Linked DNA regions of Saccharomyces cerevisiae S288C. Changing the gene in region 1 together with any one later gene gives a genetic interaction. Each region holds a gene or a part of one and is shown in the gene's direction. Other genes may lie near its edges.

Region 1 (4,986 bases):
GTGCTTCTATGAGGATGGAACTGTACAAACTTTAAATTTAGGACCTTTATTACAGAGCAAATCATCAGTGAACCTGCTGAATTATATAATGGTAATAAAAGAGCTTATAGGTTATATGCTTACTCATCTCGAGTTCATTAACCGGGAACTGGCAACACCTTATTTAGATTTCGTCAAAAGATTGTGTGATGAAGCCTACGGATATGGCAAACTCAAATCGGAATTAGAAGCCCTCTTTTTACTTGGAGAGATCTCATGTGACTTGGAAGACTGGCTTTGCAATTCAGTAGGTGAGAAGAACTTTAAAAGGTGGAAGTATTTAGGTTGTGAAGCTTACCAAAAAACTGTTCAGATTTTAACTTTAATATTTGTACCCGCATGTGAAAGAATCATTATTTATGTGGAGAAGTTAAGGGCAATATTACAAGCCTTTTCTATACAGAATAAGCTCAGTTATACGTCAGATTTGACAGCTGTTGAAGTGCTCCTAAAAAGTTCACAGAAATTGTTAACTATGACATTAAATTCAATAATAGGCTTGGGGAGGGACGAAACACTTTTTGAGAAGTTTTTCATATGGTTCAACGACAGACTTCATGAAGCGCTAGATGAAGATTATAAACTGAAATTTCAATTTGAGGATGATCTTTACTTTGGATACGATTTACTAAGTTACTTTGACAGAATCTTATCTAAAAAAGGTACGGAACCTAGCTCAATAATCGACGTGAAACTTTATAGAGACCTAATTAACAGCATGTCTGATATGGAAAAAGATATTGCACAAAGTAATGTTAATTCTCATATTCAACAGCATATTCTGGTTGATTTAAAAACGGATGTTTTTGCGCAAAAATATCCATCTTCGCAAATAAATTTGCTTGATGCCATAAAATTACCAAAGCATAATTACATAGTCTACCTTATTCAGGTAACAAAACACAACAGTGCTCAAGAACCTTTCTCAGAAGAAAACAAAAAGAAACTATATATAGGTACTCTGAAAGATGAGAATTTAGGCATTATATCAAAGGAATCGTCAGTCAAGATTCCGGCGCTATTCAAGAGCTATAGGTTGAGCAGTACAAGGTTTGTGCCGAATAGGGTCCATAGCTTGCTTCGGGATATTGGATTGTCAGATAGTAACTATCATAGTAGCCACGTCACCGATTATAGGGGAGAAAACTATGAAAACGAGGAAGATGATGGCACAATAGCTATTCCTGCTTACATCAGGGAGAATAGGGAAAATGATGATTTCATAGCATGCACCGCGAAGGTATCGGTGGATGGAAGAAGCGCATCCCTAGTGTTTCCAAAAGAAAAACAAAATGTTTGACACATAGACAGATGACGAGTAGCTTTTTTTTAGTATTTGCATAATGATCACCAATAATAGTAGTAATGAAATGTAAGCGTAAATAGCGTATGCATCATCTCCCAAGACTTTTCTTTTGTATGGCGCACTATGAAGAAGTTTGGAACCCGCCTGTGGTGTACTGAGAAAAAAAAAAAATTTCAAGGGCCCGCAATCTCAAAATGGAGTCAATTGTGTCAAGTCTTTTTTTTTTTTTTCATCGTTATCTCACTTTTTATTGCTTATCTTAAGATAATTTAGCTGATATACTATATAGAATAGCCGAAGTGTCAGTTTACTCAGATTTTTGCTACTTTTGATTACTTTTTTTTTACATTTTCAAGGTAATTGACGTCGGTTAAGTAGAGATGGGGAAGAAGGATAGACAGCGCAAGAAACTGCGTGAGTTTGCTAAATTGAAAAACAGGCAGCGAAACTTGAGAAAGAGCGTGCAAACATTGAAGAATGAGGTTCAACGAGAGGCTAAAGTCCCAAGAACTTCGAATCAAATTGCTTTAGGAAACGACAAAATCGAAGAGATTAACGAAAATAGTCCATTATTATCAGCTCCTAGTAAACAAGAGGAGGTATCAATTCCGAAAGCGGTTGATATTGATACCATTGATGCACAGCCTCTTCACGAAGGCCCAAAAATTGATGACTCGCCCCAAGATGAGGTCAATAGCATTAAAGGAAAACCTGCGGACAAGGCTAATGAAGACGATCTTAAGCCGCCTTCACAACATGAAGCATGTGGAAATTCAGCTTTGCAAAGCTCTATTACAGATTTTAGTGATAGATCAGTATCACCATTGCAAAGTATTACCAGCTGCAATACTCCGATGAGTGAGCACGAGCTACCAGTATCTTCCTCAAATTCGTTTGAAAGAGCTGATGATATGCCTGTAGTGCAGGCAGATAACCAGACGTCAAGTAGTAAATCTTTGCACATTGTTGCACCATCTCCTGAAGTACCAGTCAGCGGAGATGAAATCACTTCATATGGATATGGCTCTATACCCCAGAGCATCGGGGATGTAGAGAACGGATTGAATCCTCCTTATGTCGAAAATACATCATCTGATGAACTTGTACATGATCTGACGAGAAGACGGATATTTTCATCCTGTATGTGTACTTATTTATTCTTTATTGCAATGGACAGTTCTATAATCCTAGTAATTGCGTCCAAAATTGCTTCGGAGTTTCATGAGTTATGGAGATTATCCTTAGTCATCTCAGCATACCTATTGAGTAATGCTATTGGGCAACTGGTATTTTTGAAGCTATCTTTAATATCCAGTGTAAAATTGTTGTTGTGTATTGCTCAATTCAGTTTTATCCTTGGTGGCTATTTATCTTGGAGTTCTGCCCATTTTTGGACGTTTATCTTTGCCCGTTGTGTCACAGGATTTGGGGGCGGTTCCTTAATAGCGCTCAAAAGTACTATTATGAATCGGTTTTCTCAAAAGAACGACAGTCGGTACTCATTGAGTGCCTCTATGATAACATTTGCTATGGGTGTGGTAATTGGGCCCTTTATGATGAACTTGTTTGATTCTTCTCATGGTAGCGGGTGGAGAAATGCCTTCTTAATACCAGTTCCTTTTTGCCTTGTGAATGCCTCGATTATGCTGGCAGATATGTATTCTGTTAAGAGCACTTTATATGGACGCCCAACGCCTACATTATGGAAAAGATTCAAGAATACTCTATTAAGTCCTGATTTATACGAAATATTGACACTTACGCTATTCCTACTTTGTTTCGTTCAAGTGACCTCATTGGATTTAACAGGGTTAAAGAATAATACGATGATTCAAGCGCTACTATTTTCTGTAATTATCGTTTGTGGCATTTTATTTTTCTTGATAGAGACAAGCGATACTTACATGAACTCTGTAATTTCAATGTCCTTACAAGGTGACAAGCGTTTAATATGGACAATGATAGGAATTTCATTTTGCTTTGCAGCATTAATGTGCATCATCCCATTCGGTACAACGTACTTCATCATTGTTTTAAATTTAAGCACTTTACAACTTGCAGAGAGATTGTCCCCATTCTTTTTCTCCATTGTACTGGGTTACTTTAGTGTTTCTTATTTTTGGAAGTCGAAAGGACAGAATTTTTTGCTAAAATTTGTTTTAAGCGGAGCCACCCTGTTACTATATGTGGCACTTATGGGGGTAAGTTTGAATTTACCAGTATGGAAGCAATATATATGTTTGTCTCTGCCATTTTTGGGCTCCTCTATGATATTGACCTTGCTGTCAAATCTTTATCATGAGTACCATGAACAAAGAAAGTCACCTATCAGTGGTTCTATCGTATATTGTTTCGGTGCCGTGGGGGGGACGGTTGGTATTTCCTTGGGTGGTTATGTCTTCCACAAAACATTAATAAAACTTATGCATGAGAAGGTGATGCCATTTAGCAAGCAAGGTTATCTTAAAAAGGACCTTTTGAAAATTATCAAGCACGCTACGGAATCTTCAGATTGGGTACACGAATCAGCCCCAAAGTTTGTTTTTCAAACTTTGATTGAGTGTTATTTACAAGCATGTCGAAACGTATTCAAACTCTCTACCCTTTTTTTTACGATTACTGTCGTAGCAATATTCATTTTCAACAGAATCCATTGTCGTAGTCAAAATTGTTTGTCACTATCTTGAACCGGTAGATGAAAATGTATACTTTAAATAATACAAATACTTTTTTTCTTTTTTCTTAAACCCGATAATACTTTTGTCGCTTAGATAAAGATGCAGGGAACTTCAATCATTGTGGTGACCGCACAAAGGCGGGATCTGAAAAATGATCGTATGGGGCGGGGGAAGAATAGAAGAGTGAACAAGGGGATATGGTATCCGTGCAAGAAATGAATGGCCAGAATAGCTTGATTTTTACTTGCTGAAAATGCAGCAAGCGGAAACCCCTCTATCAGTAGGCAACCAAAGAAAACATGGTTTTGTTTATGATAGTGTTTTCTCCGACTAAATGACACTTAATATATAAGCCAGTCATTTTTCTTTCATACTTTCCTCTTGCATGACGAAACAATTCTTTTTTTATTTCGTTTCCTTGTCTGTACTTTTTAGACACTTGACCATATCACAGATATTTACAGACTCTTTTAATTCTAAATAGGTAAAATGTTCTTCAGCCAAGTTTTGAGATCTTCCGCTCGTGCTGCCCCAATCAAGAGGTATACAGGCGGTAGAATAGGTGAATCGTGGGTAATTACGGAAGGTAGAAGGCTCATTCCAGAAATCTTTCAATGGAGTGCAGTATTGAGCGTTTGTTTAGGTTGGCCTGGTGCTGTATACTTCTTTAGTAAGGCAAGAAAAGCATGAGTTTGATAAGAAAAAAAAATTTGCTAAAAATGAGTGTAACACTACCAACATGGCGAGTTTAGTTTGATACTAGGCGCTATACATTATTATTTATATGCCCAGAGGTTACAACAGTGGCTACAATGCAAAAAATATACTGGCTTATATTTTTCATTTGAGATCTGGTTCCTCAAATATATATATATATTTATTTATTTTTTACACATACATACTGCCCTCCTGATTACTTTAAACATCTATATTACAAAAGAGAAGCATTCTTTTCCGTCCATT
Region 2 (3,934 bases), on another chromosome or scaffold:
TAGTAGTCGCAATAACTGCGGTAGTAGTACTAACATCAGTAAAAGTAACGCTTGGTAGTTTTTCTGCCCGGTTTAACCATTGATTTGATGAAATTGTAGAAAACTGAAAAAAAAAAAAAAAATGAAAAAAAAAAATGATGAGCTTCTCGAAGAATACATTAACCACTTATAGGAAGGAGAAGAGATCTACTAGACTCGTAGAAGTGATTAATGGCAAAGAAGAATAAGAAGGATAAAGAGGCCAAAAAGGCACGTGCTGAACTGAAGAATCAGAAAAACCAAAAAAAGCAGGAGAAAAAGTTTCAGAAGAACAAGAATAAGTCTTTAAACGGCGAAGAAGATGATGAAAGTGATCAAGATCTCGATGAAATTCTCTCTAGCTTTAGCAAAAAGCAAATTGAATTAGAGCATGTAGACATCACTTCTGTGGAAAAACCCTCTTGTCGTACTCATCCGTTGATGTTTGCAAATCCGCAACACAATAAACATGAATTGTTCATTTTCGGTGGTGAATTTACAGATCCAGAAACCAAACTAACACATTTCTATAATGATTTGTATTCATACTCCATAAAGAACAACTCTTGGAAAAAATACGTTTCGCAAAATGCACCTTTGCCCAGATCCAGTGCCGCTGTCGCTGTGCATCCTTCCGGAATAGCACTGTTACACGGTGGTGAATTTTCGTCCCCAAAACAATCTAAATTCTACCACTATTCTGATACATGGCTGTTTGACTGCGTTGAAAGGAAATTCACTAAGTTGGAGTTTGGCGGTAGAGACTCTTCACCCAGCGCCAGATCAGGTCATAGAATTATTGCTTGGAAAAACTATTTCATATTATTTGGTGGATTTAGAGATTTGGGGAATGGTCAAACTTCTTACCTAAATGATTTGTGGTGTTTTGATATCTCAACCTACAAATGGACCAAATTGGAGACAAACAGCAAACCTGACGCTAGATCGGGTCATTGTTTCATTCCTACAGATAATTCTGCCATATTAATGGGTGGTTACTGTAAAATCATTGCCAAAAATAATAAAAATTTAATGAAGGGAAAAATCTTGAATGATGCATGGAAACTGAACTTAACGCCTGATCCAAAGAAGTGGCAGTGGGAAAAATTAAAGAATTTCAAGAACCAGCCCTCACCAAGAGTCGGGTATTCGTTCAATCTATGGAAGCAAAACAAGTCCGTTGCTTTTGGTGGTGTCTACGATTTACAAGAGACAGAGGAATCCTTAGAGTCCGTTTTCTATAACGACCTATATATGTTCCACCTAGAGTTGAACAAATGGTCTAAACTTAGAATTAAACCTCAGCGTCAAACGAATAGTAAAAATTCACCCGCCACAAGTAAAAGAAAATCTAATAAAGATCAAGAAAAGGAACTGCAGGATTTACTAAATTCCATTCTGGCCAAGTCTAATCTAAATGACGACGACGATGACAATGATGACAACAGCACAACGGGTCCTAACTCTATCGATGACGACGAAGATAACGAAGATGACAGTGATTTGGACAACCAAGAAGATATTACCATCTCAAATCAATTACCTCACCCAAGATTTAACGCAGCAACTTGTGTAGTGGGCGACTCGTTGTTCATTTACAGTGGTGTCTGGGAACTGGGCGAAAAAGATTATCCTATAAACTCATTTTATAGTATAGATTTGAACAAGTTGGATGGTGTCAAGGTTTACTGGGAAGACCTATCTGCCATCGAAGAAGCAAAGAGACTAGGTGATAGAGATTCGGACGAAGATGAGTTTGAATACGAGGACGATGAGGAGGATGAGGACGACGGCGAAGAGGAACAAGATGCAGGACCCCTTGAAGGTGATGAAGATGAGGAAAGCGAGAGCGACGATGACAAACAAGCGCAGATGGAGATTCCAGACGAAAGGTCTTGGCTACCACACCCAAAACCGTTCGAAACTTTAAGAGCATTCTACTTAAGGGAAGGTGCAAATTTCTTAACCTGGTCTATTTCTAACAACAGAAACCTTAAGGGTAAACAGTTAAAGACGAAGTCATTTGAGTTATGTGAAGACCGTTGGTGGGAAAGAAGAGATCAGGTGACCCTTGAGGAAGAGCGTCTGGAGGATACAGGCGGAATCATTGAAAGAGATACGACTACTAAACCTTCCAAAAGAAGGTAAACATTTTCGCTTTTGTAGTTGAGTTTAAAAAGTATTTATAGCATTTTTTTTTTTTATAGATATCTGTCTTCCATATGGCATCCTTTTCTTTAGTCACTAATTGAGTCATCTGGAAAAAAAAACAAAGGAGACAGGGAAAATTATCTCATTATTACATTCACGAAAGCTGCCCCAACAGAAAAGTAGAATAAACACCTCCTCTCTCAATGACGCTGCAAAGAATTAGTAAAGATTATCTAAAGCCTAATTATGGACTTATCTTACTTATAGTGTCTTATTTTTTCAATTCTTCTATGGTAGTTTCTACCAAAGTCCTAGAAAATGACCCACTGGAAACTTCGCAATCAAGAATTAATCCTCTGCAAATCCTGCTAGTAAGGATGTCTATCACGTACTGTTGTACGCTAGTATACATGCATTGGAATAAACAAAGTGTTCCAGATATTCCATGGGGCCCAGCACCATGCAGGAAATGGTTGATACTCCGAGGTATAATGGGTTTTTTTGGTGTTTTTGGAATGTACTTTTCTTTAATGTATCTAAGTATAAGTGACGCTGTCTTAATCACCTTCATGTCGCCAACCCTAACCATTTTCCTTTCATTTTTACTGCTGGGTGAGCCATTTAGTAAACTTGAAGCCTTGGGGTCCCTAATTTCATTTTCTGGAGTGGTGTTAATTATTAGACCTACATTTTTGTTTGGTGAGCAGACCCAAGGCCAGCAATCTCCACAAGACGATATTGTTGAGACTCAAAATCCCAAATTAAGACTCATTGCTATCGGGGTGAGTTTATTGGGGGTTTGCGGATTGAGTAGTGTTTACATTATCATAAGATATATCGGTAACAAGGCACATGCCATCATGAGTGTCAGTTATTTCTCGTTGGTTACTACTGTTGTGGCAGCCCTCGGTGTGCTTCTAATTCCCTCGATGTCTTTACAACTGCCTCATTCGTGGAAGCAGTGGGGGCTATTTCTGAACTTGGGTATTTCTGGATTCATTCACCAAATTCTGTTAACAATGGGAATCCAGAGGGAGCGTGCAGGAAGGGGTTCGTTAATGACTTATACTCAAGTTATATATGCTGTTTTCTGGGATGTCGTGCTCTTTCACCACTGGCCAAACATATGGACGTGGTGCGGTATGGCAGTTATCGTTAGTTCTACTATATGGGTCATTAATATGAGAGCCTCCAAACAAAACGTTGTGGCTACTGCCGAGCTACTCTCCACATCGGACTTTGAATTAGATGATTTGGAGGATTAAGTGATACCTGTACACTATGGTTCCATGTTGCAGGTGGCTATATTTGAAAAGTCTCCACATATATGTTAATAAGATCGATTACTCCACAAACAGAAAATAACGAAGACTTGAACTTTTCTTATTTTTATGTTTTTGTTTATATTTTTGAATTTAAACTGTTTTATAGAAATGTATGTAATATATAAATTTTATTTTCCTTGAAAAAATGGGTATTTTTCTTTCTATTTTTTCAAGAAAATCTTCCTGTAAATTAATTATGCAATAATGCTGTGGTAGGACTGGAAATAAAAAATGTTGATAACGATTGTTATTAAAGGTAAAAGAAAAATGATCAAAGAGAAATTCTTGTGCTCATTTTTTTGATTGGATGAATATAGTTTCATGTTGCCCTAAGGCTTTGATTAAAAAGGCATCTAGAAGATATTACCCAAAAATTTTTCATAGAACCACTCCATATTTTTACCGTTACTTTTTAAACGCTCTTCCTTTTCTTGGTCCTT
Region 3 (4,693 bases), on another chromosome or scaffold:
TGGCGAGAATTTTGTTCTGCAGCGCAGGTTTGAAGGTCGATAATTTTGTAGATCTTAAGTATACACCCGGCGATAGCTTCTCACCATGCGTAATCACACCTAAAGCCTTCCTTTCATCTGAATTGAAATCTTTCAGCAATTGTTCTGCATATGCGCTTTCTGACTTTCTTTTGAGCGCCGTTTGCATTTCCTGTCTTTGTCTTTTGGTTTTCTTGGGGGAGAGATTTTCCTTGACTTCTGACTTTTTTACATTCAGTTGTTGAAGTTGCCTATGTTGGGCAAACTGCTGTTGCTGCTTCATCCAAGGATTTTCAGGGATGTTCAAATCGTGCTTCCGCTTTCTAGTTTTATCTGCTAGAAGCGCGTTATATAACTGAGACATTCCCTGAGAGGTAAGGTATTGTGTAATTGTCTGATCTGAATGTGGCGAGTCCAACAGTCGGAGTAATGATTCTCTTTCTGCAAGTGTTCTCTTGGCAGCCATTTCAAATTTTTTGGACTCTACTACGAGTGCCTCTTCTTCAGCAATTTCTGCTGCAGAACGAGAAAGAAGACGCTGTAAATACTTTTTTCTCTCTATCTCCTTTTCAGCTGAAAAATTCAAAGAAGATAAAAGCGGATTGCTAGGATCACTTGCTTTAAAATAATTCCTACAGGTGTAATAAAATTTTTCTTTGAGATCTTCAAGTGTTCTTGAATTATTATAACTGTATCTGTCAAAGATCAGGAACCAACGTAAATCGTATTTTTTGCAGAGATTGAACAGGTATTCTATTTCTTCAAAAGACCAGCTATTTTTACTTTCATCCTTCTTTTCATTAGTAAAGTTTTCGTTATGGTTTTTTTCACTTTCTACGCTTTTTTGAGTTCCTTCGTTTTCATTCATAAAAGCCTCGTACTCCTCCTTGGTGAATGATGGAATAGATAAATGCTGATTGAACTTAGAATATGGCGATTCTTTTGGTGTGTCTCCTATTAATTCTTTGGAACCCTTGACCCAATGACGCAGAGTCACAGAGTTATTAGCTTTGAACTCTACAAATGACCAAGGAGATGGCTTGGACGTCGAAAGCATTTTTTCTTTAAAGTTATTTCCAGACTTAATAACAACGGGGGGTTGGTTCTCTCCTAGCAGGTTAAATAGTTCTCTTTGCATGCCCGTCACTTGAGGCTTGGGCCGGTTGGCTGCCGAGGACGAAGGCACTGATACCTGGCCATTAGTTGGACTTCTGGATTTTTGCTTAATGTTTAGTACATCAAAGATGTCTGATGATGACATATTACCTGTGGTTTTTTTACTAAATTTTCGTATTATCGGAGAAATATGTTATGAATGCTTGTTGCTATTAAAATACAAAGTGGATTCTTGATTTATCACTAAATAGCTACCCGGAGTTGGCGCATCGCAACTTCATTAAATAAGTTCGAGTGTGCGTATTCTAATCTGATTCATATAAAGTATACTCTAAACGGGCTAACTCAAATCTGAAATTAGGGCTACTATATGATAACTAATAAGAAAATAAAGATAAGTGTCCCAGAAAAACTCGGTTTGTCAGAAGAATCTTTTGAGGAATCCTGGGAAACAGTTAAATATGCCATTGATCATATATACAGCGATGACATGGCCGACCTTTCCTTCGAACAAGTGTACAAGACCATTTATACTATCGTTTTAAATAAAAAGGGGCCAATACTTTATAACAGATTGAAAGATTATTTAATCCAAAAATTAGCGCTTTTGAGGGAAACGATAGTCAAGGACAATACTCATGATTATGAGTTTCTTGGAACTATGGCACGGTTATGGGAGGTGCAATGCCATTGTTTTAAAATAACGGGAGACTTAATGATGTATATGGACAAAGTTTATTGCAAACCAAATAGATGCATGGAGGTATACGACATGTGCCTCGATCTTTTCCGAATCGAAATATTGCAAAAATGCTCATCTTCTCTCATCTCAGCACTGATATCTGATATAGAAAGGATTCGTAATTTAGGATCTGTCGACTCCGAACATACTAGTTTGTGGAAAGTACTAATAGGAATGATGGAGACATTACATGACAATAGAGATAGTTTTTTCTTAACCGATTTTGAGCCGGTTTTGATTAGCGCGACAGAAGAATACTACAATAAAGCTATTGATATTGAATTATTAACGCCAATTGAGAGCCTGGAAAAGATTAGGAAGTTAAGGCAGTTTGAAAGTATGCTAGACTCCTCTTTTCTAAATGTGGATTCTCATAATAAGTTGAAGACTGTATTAGAAAATGTCCTTATATGGGGAAAGTTGAGTGATATTATTGAAGATCTAACGCACGAAGCAATGGTAATTTCAAATGGAAAGCTACTCCAAGAAATTTATGACTTGTCAAGCGAGGAAAAATATCGCGTTACTGTCATTGAATCTATTAAATCTTACATCAATAAAAATGCCATAAATATTCCTTTTAATGAAGGTAACCGCAAAAAAGGGCAGAATGCGATTACTTGGTCTTCGGAAATTGTAGAGCTATATCGCAGTCAACACTCGTTTTTGGAAAGTATTGATTTTGGTTCTGTTCGTCTTAATAATTTGACCGGGGATGTATCTAATGCAATACTTGGCGATGTTTTCTCAATGTATTTCTCTAAAGAAGGAGCATTACCATCTGAGTATCTTTCTACCTACGTGGACCATTGTATGAAACGAACCAAGGAAAAAGATGCTGAAATAGTGAAGATCAAGCAAGATTTGCTTGATAGTACCAAATTAATCGGACTCCTAACTGAGAAGGATATATTTGAAAAGATTTACAAAAAACAACTCTCCAGAAGATTACTGCAGCAGAGGTCTTTAGTGGAAATTGAAAAATGGATGGTGCAAATGATAAAGAAGGTTCTAGGAACTTTTTTTACCTCAAAATTGGAGATAATGCTGCGAGATATATCTTTATCCTCTGAAATGTATCAAGCATTCCAACACTCAACAATCAACAGCATAGAATATTTGAGTTTTGCACCACAAGTTTTGACGAGAACGAGCTGGCCCTTTCAGAGTACTAATCCAATTGATGAAGGTATTTCACTACCTCCTAGAATGTCACAAATTTTAGCTGGCTTTGAGGGCTATTACAGCTTAAAATACAAAGAAAGAGTGCTAAAGTGGGCTCATCATCTAAGTGTAATTGAAATTGGCTGCCAATTTAATAGCGGTTACTACGAAATAAGTTTTTCTGTTTACGCTGGAGTGATTTTCCTTCTATTTGAAGATTATGAAGAATTAACGTTGGGGGAAATATATGAACTAACTCATATTCCCATAGATGACGTTAAGTCTCTTGTAATGTCAATGTCGACAATACCCAGATGTAAGATTTTGAAAAAATCATCCAGTTCAGGAAATATGAAATTTTCAGTTAATTATTTCTTTTCTTCTCCAAACAGGAAAGTGAAAGTGCCGGTTATTGCATGCCCTCTACCATCTCAGAAATCAGATAATTTGGCAACCGCAAGTTCCGTGGACACTTATGATAATGAAATTGTTATGGAGCTTAGTGCTATTATTGTTCGTATCATGAAAACAGAAGGTAAGCTAAGCCATCAGCAATTACTTGAAAGAACTACGAAACGGACACAGTCTCGGCTCAGTCTTACACCGAGCATTTTGAAACGAAGCATTCAGCTTTTAATAGAGAAAGAATACATCCAGAGAAACGCAGATGACCCCTCTTATTACCATTACCTTTCCTAATTGCTTATAATGAAAATCACAGGTATAAGGTTTGCAGAATGCCAACAGTATATATAGATGGCAGTTCCTATCCGGCTGCCAGAGCGAACAATATTAAGAGGATATGCGTCGATACTAATTGAATGTTCATCCTGCATTCCTTAGTGAAACTTTCAAAATATATAATAACATAGTTATGGTAGACTATATATCCCAGTCAAACTTGAATGTAATGTGGAGTGGGTAATCGATATCTCTTGAAGTTTATTATGCCTCATTATATTTTTATAAAAAACTTCTAGGAATTTGTTGAGTCAAATAATTTCTTTCTTAATCATTAAGTAAGTTAAAGTTACGAGCCTTTCAGACCTGCGTAGCACTGCTTCAAAGGAACTATTATCAATAGCAGCGCCTTGCTCTTTTTTTTTTTTCAGATGCTTAGCGGCCGTATTTCACTTTTCCTGGTAGAAAAATATATGTTGAAATTTACGGTATAAGAGAAGCTCACCAAAATTATTATCAATAAAGCGGCACTTTTAAATTTGGTATTCTTCCCTGGTTGTCAAGCCTTGGTTTCCCTTTATTTGATAGTATGAGCGAAATAAATAATGAAAATCTAGAGCCAACCTCAAGTACAGTAGCTGAGTCTACAGAAAGCAAGAATAAACACATTCGTAGCGCTTTAAGAAAACGAAGAGGTAAATTAAGCGCCCAAACTTATGAGGAAGATCAAGAGGCTATTTTATCATCTCCTTTATTGACTTCAACACCTAAAACAGTCTCCAGGTCATTAGTGAGGTTATACCCATATTTAATTGTTGTGGATAACTTTCTAAGTATCATCACTTGGTCCAATGACAATGTCTCTGCAAACTTGCTTGGAATATTCTTATTTACGGTTTGTGTTCTATATTTTGGATTTATTACAAGGTATTTTGGACATTTAATGATCGTTGGTATAATATGGGTATATCT
Region 4 (4,217 bases), on another chromosome or scaffold:
TTTTAGTGATCTCTTAGCAATGTATTTTCAAGGTTGAAAATTTAAACGATCACTATTTTGATTGCGTAAGAAATGCGGAAGTAAACCATTTATTCTCCACTTCCACTTCAATTTTCTTCTTGCTTCCAAAAACCAATTCATTGATTTAGAGCCCATTGCATCTTTATTAAAATGATGTTTGATTGACTTATCATTTTCTAGCAATTGCAACTGCAATCGTTCTATTAGTTCCTTAGAGAAGCTGTCCTTTTTTTTTGATATTTCCTTTTTAAGGTCGATCTTGTTATCTTCTATGTGCCTATTTATTTTTTTTGGAACATCTGTCGATAAATGAAACGGTTCTGCTGAATTCTCTAGATCACTAAAAGTACCGCTGCTTAGATTTGATTCATCCATAGATGATTCGAACTCGCAGTTCTCAAAGATTTTAGCGGCTTCTTCATATCTAACTGTGCATTGCTCACATACAATTTCTTTATAGTATCCTGAATTTAAAAGTCTCGAGCTAATTTCATATAGGGCCTTTTCGCAGATGACACATTTCCTCAGTTGGGAATGAACATTTAATTCCGATAGATAAAGATCATCGTAACTTTTATTGGAAGATGGAATATTAACCAAGTTAACCACCATATTTTCAATGGAATTTGGTATGGAAATATCACTTATTTCAATTTCCTCTTTGATAAAATCTAAGGGGTTGTTACTTTCGTCCCTATTTTCTTCAGTATTCCTTAATATATGGGGTATCAGTGTTAGTGAATTCGGTTCAAAGCTATTTCTATTGGTTTCCTTATTAATTTCAGAATATGAATTTTTTACTCTCAGCGGGATATGATTATCTCTTCTTTTACTTAGTTTTGATTTCAAATCTGAAATAGATACCATTTTTTTTGTTGATTTACTTTGGGTATACGGTATGTAGTCTTCAACCAGGACTAGCGGTGGTATATCCTGAGAAGTATTTTCTGTTAGCTCGTAGTTTTTTGTATCTAAACTCGGCCCATAACTGACGTACCTATTACGTTTGTTGTTATGCACTCGCAGTTCATTTACAGGATTCAACCTGGGCCGTTTTTTATTGTTGTTGTATTCGTTGTTTCCACTGTCATCTTCATTAGTTTCGATATTGCATGGAGGCGCAATTGGCAAAGACGTAAAGCTCTTGTCATCAATTAGATCTAATTTGGAAACAGATTGGTACAATTTGGATGGAATTTTAGGCTTGGCACCTATCAATTGTGAGCGACGCTTTCTTACATTCAATAACTGTTGGTTCTGATTTTCACTTTGACTATTGCCTTGGTATGGAGAATTTCTCTGCAATGGTTTTGCCTGCTTCGAAGGAGTGCTGTTACTATCGAAGATAAATTCCTTCTTTTCAAATTGCCATTGTAACATGGAGTTATTCTCTATATCCTGGACGACTGGAGGAGTCAAGGGCCTGGAAAGTACGGATCCTGTAGAAATATCACTGGCAATTATACTGAGTTTATTGTTGGTGTTGCTATTCATATTTGAGCTGGTATTGGACGAAAGCAAGGATAATGAGTTTGTGTCTACTGACTCCAACACCCTAGGCTGGATTTGATCTTTCTCCATCCTTTAATTTTAACCTTTTAATTAGTGGTTGGATCAAGTTTTCGAGACTATTCCAATCTGTGACTTGTTGGATAAATAGTTTTTGACTCGTTTAGTATAATCCTTTTTTCTAAAAGTGCTTAGAGTTCTCTAAGATGTTCTTGTTTACAATGTGAGCGATTTAGGAAATTTCCTAAAAATGGCCGAGGCGGCGCTAGCATTCTACGAAAGGTGAGATAACGCTTCGTTATCGAAAAATGTCAGGGGACAGGGGTTATATAAGAACGAAAATTGTCATCCTGCATTTTTTCTTTAAAACAGCTATACAAAAAGTGATACCGACATACAATGAAGTATCTAAACTTAGTTTTCGTGCTTCAGCTTCTTATTAGCATCAAATACGCCTCATTCGGCCGAGCCTTTTCTCTTTTTGAAGATGATACCACCTTTGCCAATTTGGATAAACAGCTAAAGCTTCCACAGAATACACAGCAAACCCTTAAATTGGACCGTTTGAATCACGATGATCCGCTGTTTACAACTTTTATTTCTTCTGTGGACACAGATTACAGTTTGAGACTTAGAACAGTAGATCCTTCTAAACTAGGAATTGACACCGTAAAACAATGGTCGGGTTACATGGACTATAAGGATTCCAAACACTTTTTTTACTGGTTTTTTGAAAGTAGGAACGATCCTGCTAACGACCCAATTATTCTTTGGTTAAATGGTGGACCTGGTTGTTCCTCGTTTACTGGGTTGCTATTTGAACTAGGCCCCTCATCAATTGGCGCCGATATGAAACCAATCCACAATCCCTATTCTTGGAATAATAACGCTTCAATGATCTTCTTAGAACAGCCACTCGGAGTCGGCTTTTCCTATGGTGATGAAAAAGTCTCCTCTACAAAATTAGCAGGCAAAGATGCGTACATTTTCCTGGAATTGTTTTTTGAAGCTTTTCCTCATTTACGCTCCAACGATTTCCACATTGCAGGCGAATCCTATGCAGGACATTATATCCCTCAAATTGCACATGAGATCGTTGTCAAGAACCCTGAAAGAACGTTCAATTTAACTTCAGTTATGATTGGTAATGGTATCACAGACCCTTTGATTCAAGCAGATTATTATGAACCAATGGCATGCGGGAAAGGGGGCTATCACCCTGTTCTCTCATCAGAAGAATGTGAGAAAATGAGTAAAGCTGCAGGTCGTTGTCGTAGGTTGAACAAGTTATGTTATGCTTCTAAATCAAGTTTACCATGCATAGTCGCCACTGCTTACTGTGACTCTGCACTTTTGGAACCGTACATTAACACAGGACTCAACGTCTATGACATTAGAGGGCCCTGTGAAGATAATAGTACTGATGGTATGTGTTATACAGGTCTCCGCTATGTCGACCAGTATATGAATTTTCCTGAAGTTCAAGAAACGCTAGGGTCCGACGTGCATAATTATTCTGGCTGTGATAATGACGTGTTCACCGGATTTTTGTTTACGGGCGATGGAAGTAAACCATTTCAACAATATATTGCTGAATTATTAAATCACAACATTCCGGTATTAATATATGCGGGTGATAAGGATTATATTTGTAATTGGCTGGGAAACCATGCTTGGTCCAATGAGTTGGAATGGATCAATAAACGTAGGTATCAGAGAAGGATGTTAAGACCATGGGTCAGTAAAGAAACAGGTGAAGAGTTGGGACAAGTCAAGAACTATGGCCCTTTCACCTTTTTGAGAATATACGATGCCGGTCATATGGTGCCCTATGATCAACCGGAGGCAAGTTTGGAAATGGTCAACAGTTGGATTTCCGGTAATCGTGCTTTTTCGGATCTTTCCACCTTGGAAAATGCTAGTTAGTAGTGCTCTAAAAATGTTTCACTCTTAACCTTGCAATCATTATACTTTACACAAATCTCTACGTTTCATTTAATTTAAAATCTACAATCCAACAAATATAAAACAAAATATAATTATAAGGAAAAACGTATATAATCACTGCAATACTCTAATTTAAAATTAGGAGCACGACATTCTTGCCAGTATCATTGTTGCTAATCTTTTTCTCTCATAAATTGCCACTTGATGTTCACCCTCTCCTTTTAACTTTTCTATATGTTCCTGATCAAAAATATCCAGAGGCTTCACAACTGACAAGCCTCTCTTTTTTAAAAGTTCGACCATTTCATCATTAAATTCCTCTAGGTAATTAAACTCACTGTGTGTAACAAGCATCCCAATCAATTCAAAAGAGACAGCAACCGCTTCAGATGATTGTTCTAGGGTTGATAACCTCCTGAATTCCTTTCTAGTCAGCGTATAGAACCTGAATACACAAATAGGGTTGACTTTGAGCAAATACCTCATCAATAGAGCAAAACGGAATTTACATGGTTCGTCTGACATAACACAGCTAAACAAAAGTGCTCCTTGGTATAAGACTATATTAGATTTATCTGAGTCTGAACTTAGCCAGTTGATCAAAGTAAGTGGCACTTTTAGTGTATTATTTAAAGGTACCAGTTCATCTTCGAAGCCGACTTCAAGTAACAAGGTAGAAAGTTGTTCAGGACTTAAGACCAAATGGAGTAAGAAAAGGTAACAAAGATAATCGGAGGATT

What was found.
Region 2: mutations in VBA4 (region 1) and YPL264C together harm fitness more than expected from each alone (negative genetic interaction), as found in Saccharomyces cerevisiae (one large-scale study listed by BioGRID).
Region 3: mutations in VBA4 (region 1) and CUL3 together harm fitness more than expected from each alone (negative genetic interaction), as found in Saccharomyces cerevisiae (one large-scale study listed by BioGRID).
Region 4: mutations in VBA4 (region 1) and ATG42 together harm fitness more than expected from each alone (negative genetic interaction), as found in Saccharomyces cerevisiae (one large-scale study listed by BioGRID).

The regions. Positions count from the first base shown.
Region 1 is NC_001136.10:686,502-691,487, forward strand, and holds VBA4 (Vba4p), read left to right. Parts: upstream 1-1,725; coding exon 1,726-4,032; downstream 4,033-4,986. Other genes in the region: APC4 (anaphase promoting complex subunit 4), read left to right, coding at 1-1,339; COX26 (Cox26p), read left to right, coding at 4,513-4,713. UniProt on the Saccharomyces cerevisiae protein: Transporter required for vacuolar uptake of basic amino acids.
Region 2 is NC_001148.4:42,783-46,716, reverse strand, and holds YPL264C (uncharacterized protein), read left to right. Parts: upstream 1-2,372; coding exon 2,373-3,434; downstream 3,435-3,934. Other genes in the region: KEL3 (Kel3p), read left to right, coding at 211-2,166; DIP5 (dicarboxylic amino acid permease), read right to left, coding at 3,848-3,934.
Region 3 is NC_001139.9:498,628-503,320, forward strand, and holds CUL3 (cullin CUL3), read left to right. Parts: upstream 1-1,504; coding exon 1,505-3,739; downstream 3,740-4,693. Other genes in the region: SWC4 (Swc4p), read right to left, coding at 1-1,279; PEX31 (peroxisome biogenesis protein), read left to right, coding at 4,311-4,693. UniProt on the Saccharomyces cerevisiae protein: As part of the CRL3 E3 ubiquitin ligase complex; polyubiquitylates monoubiquitylated RNA polymerase II subunit RPO21 to trigger its proteolysis; plays a role in global genomic repair.
Region 4 is NC_001134.8:513,735-517,951, forward strand, and holds ATG42 (carboxypeptidase C), read left to right. Parts: upstream 1-1,929; coding exon 1,930-3,456; downstream 3,457-4,217. Other genes in the region: YBR138C (uncharacterized protein), read right to left, coding at 28-1,602; GTPase-activating protein IRA1, read right to left, coding at 3,616-4,217. UniProt on the Saccharomyces cerevisiae protein: Vacuolar serine-type carboxypeptidase involved in vacuolar zymogen activation, breakdown of the autophagic body, and autophagosome-dependent protein synthesis.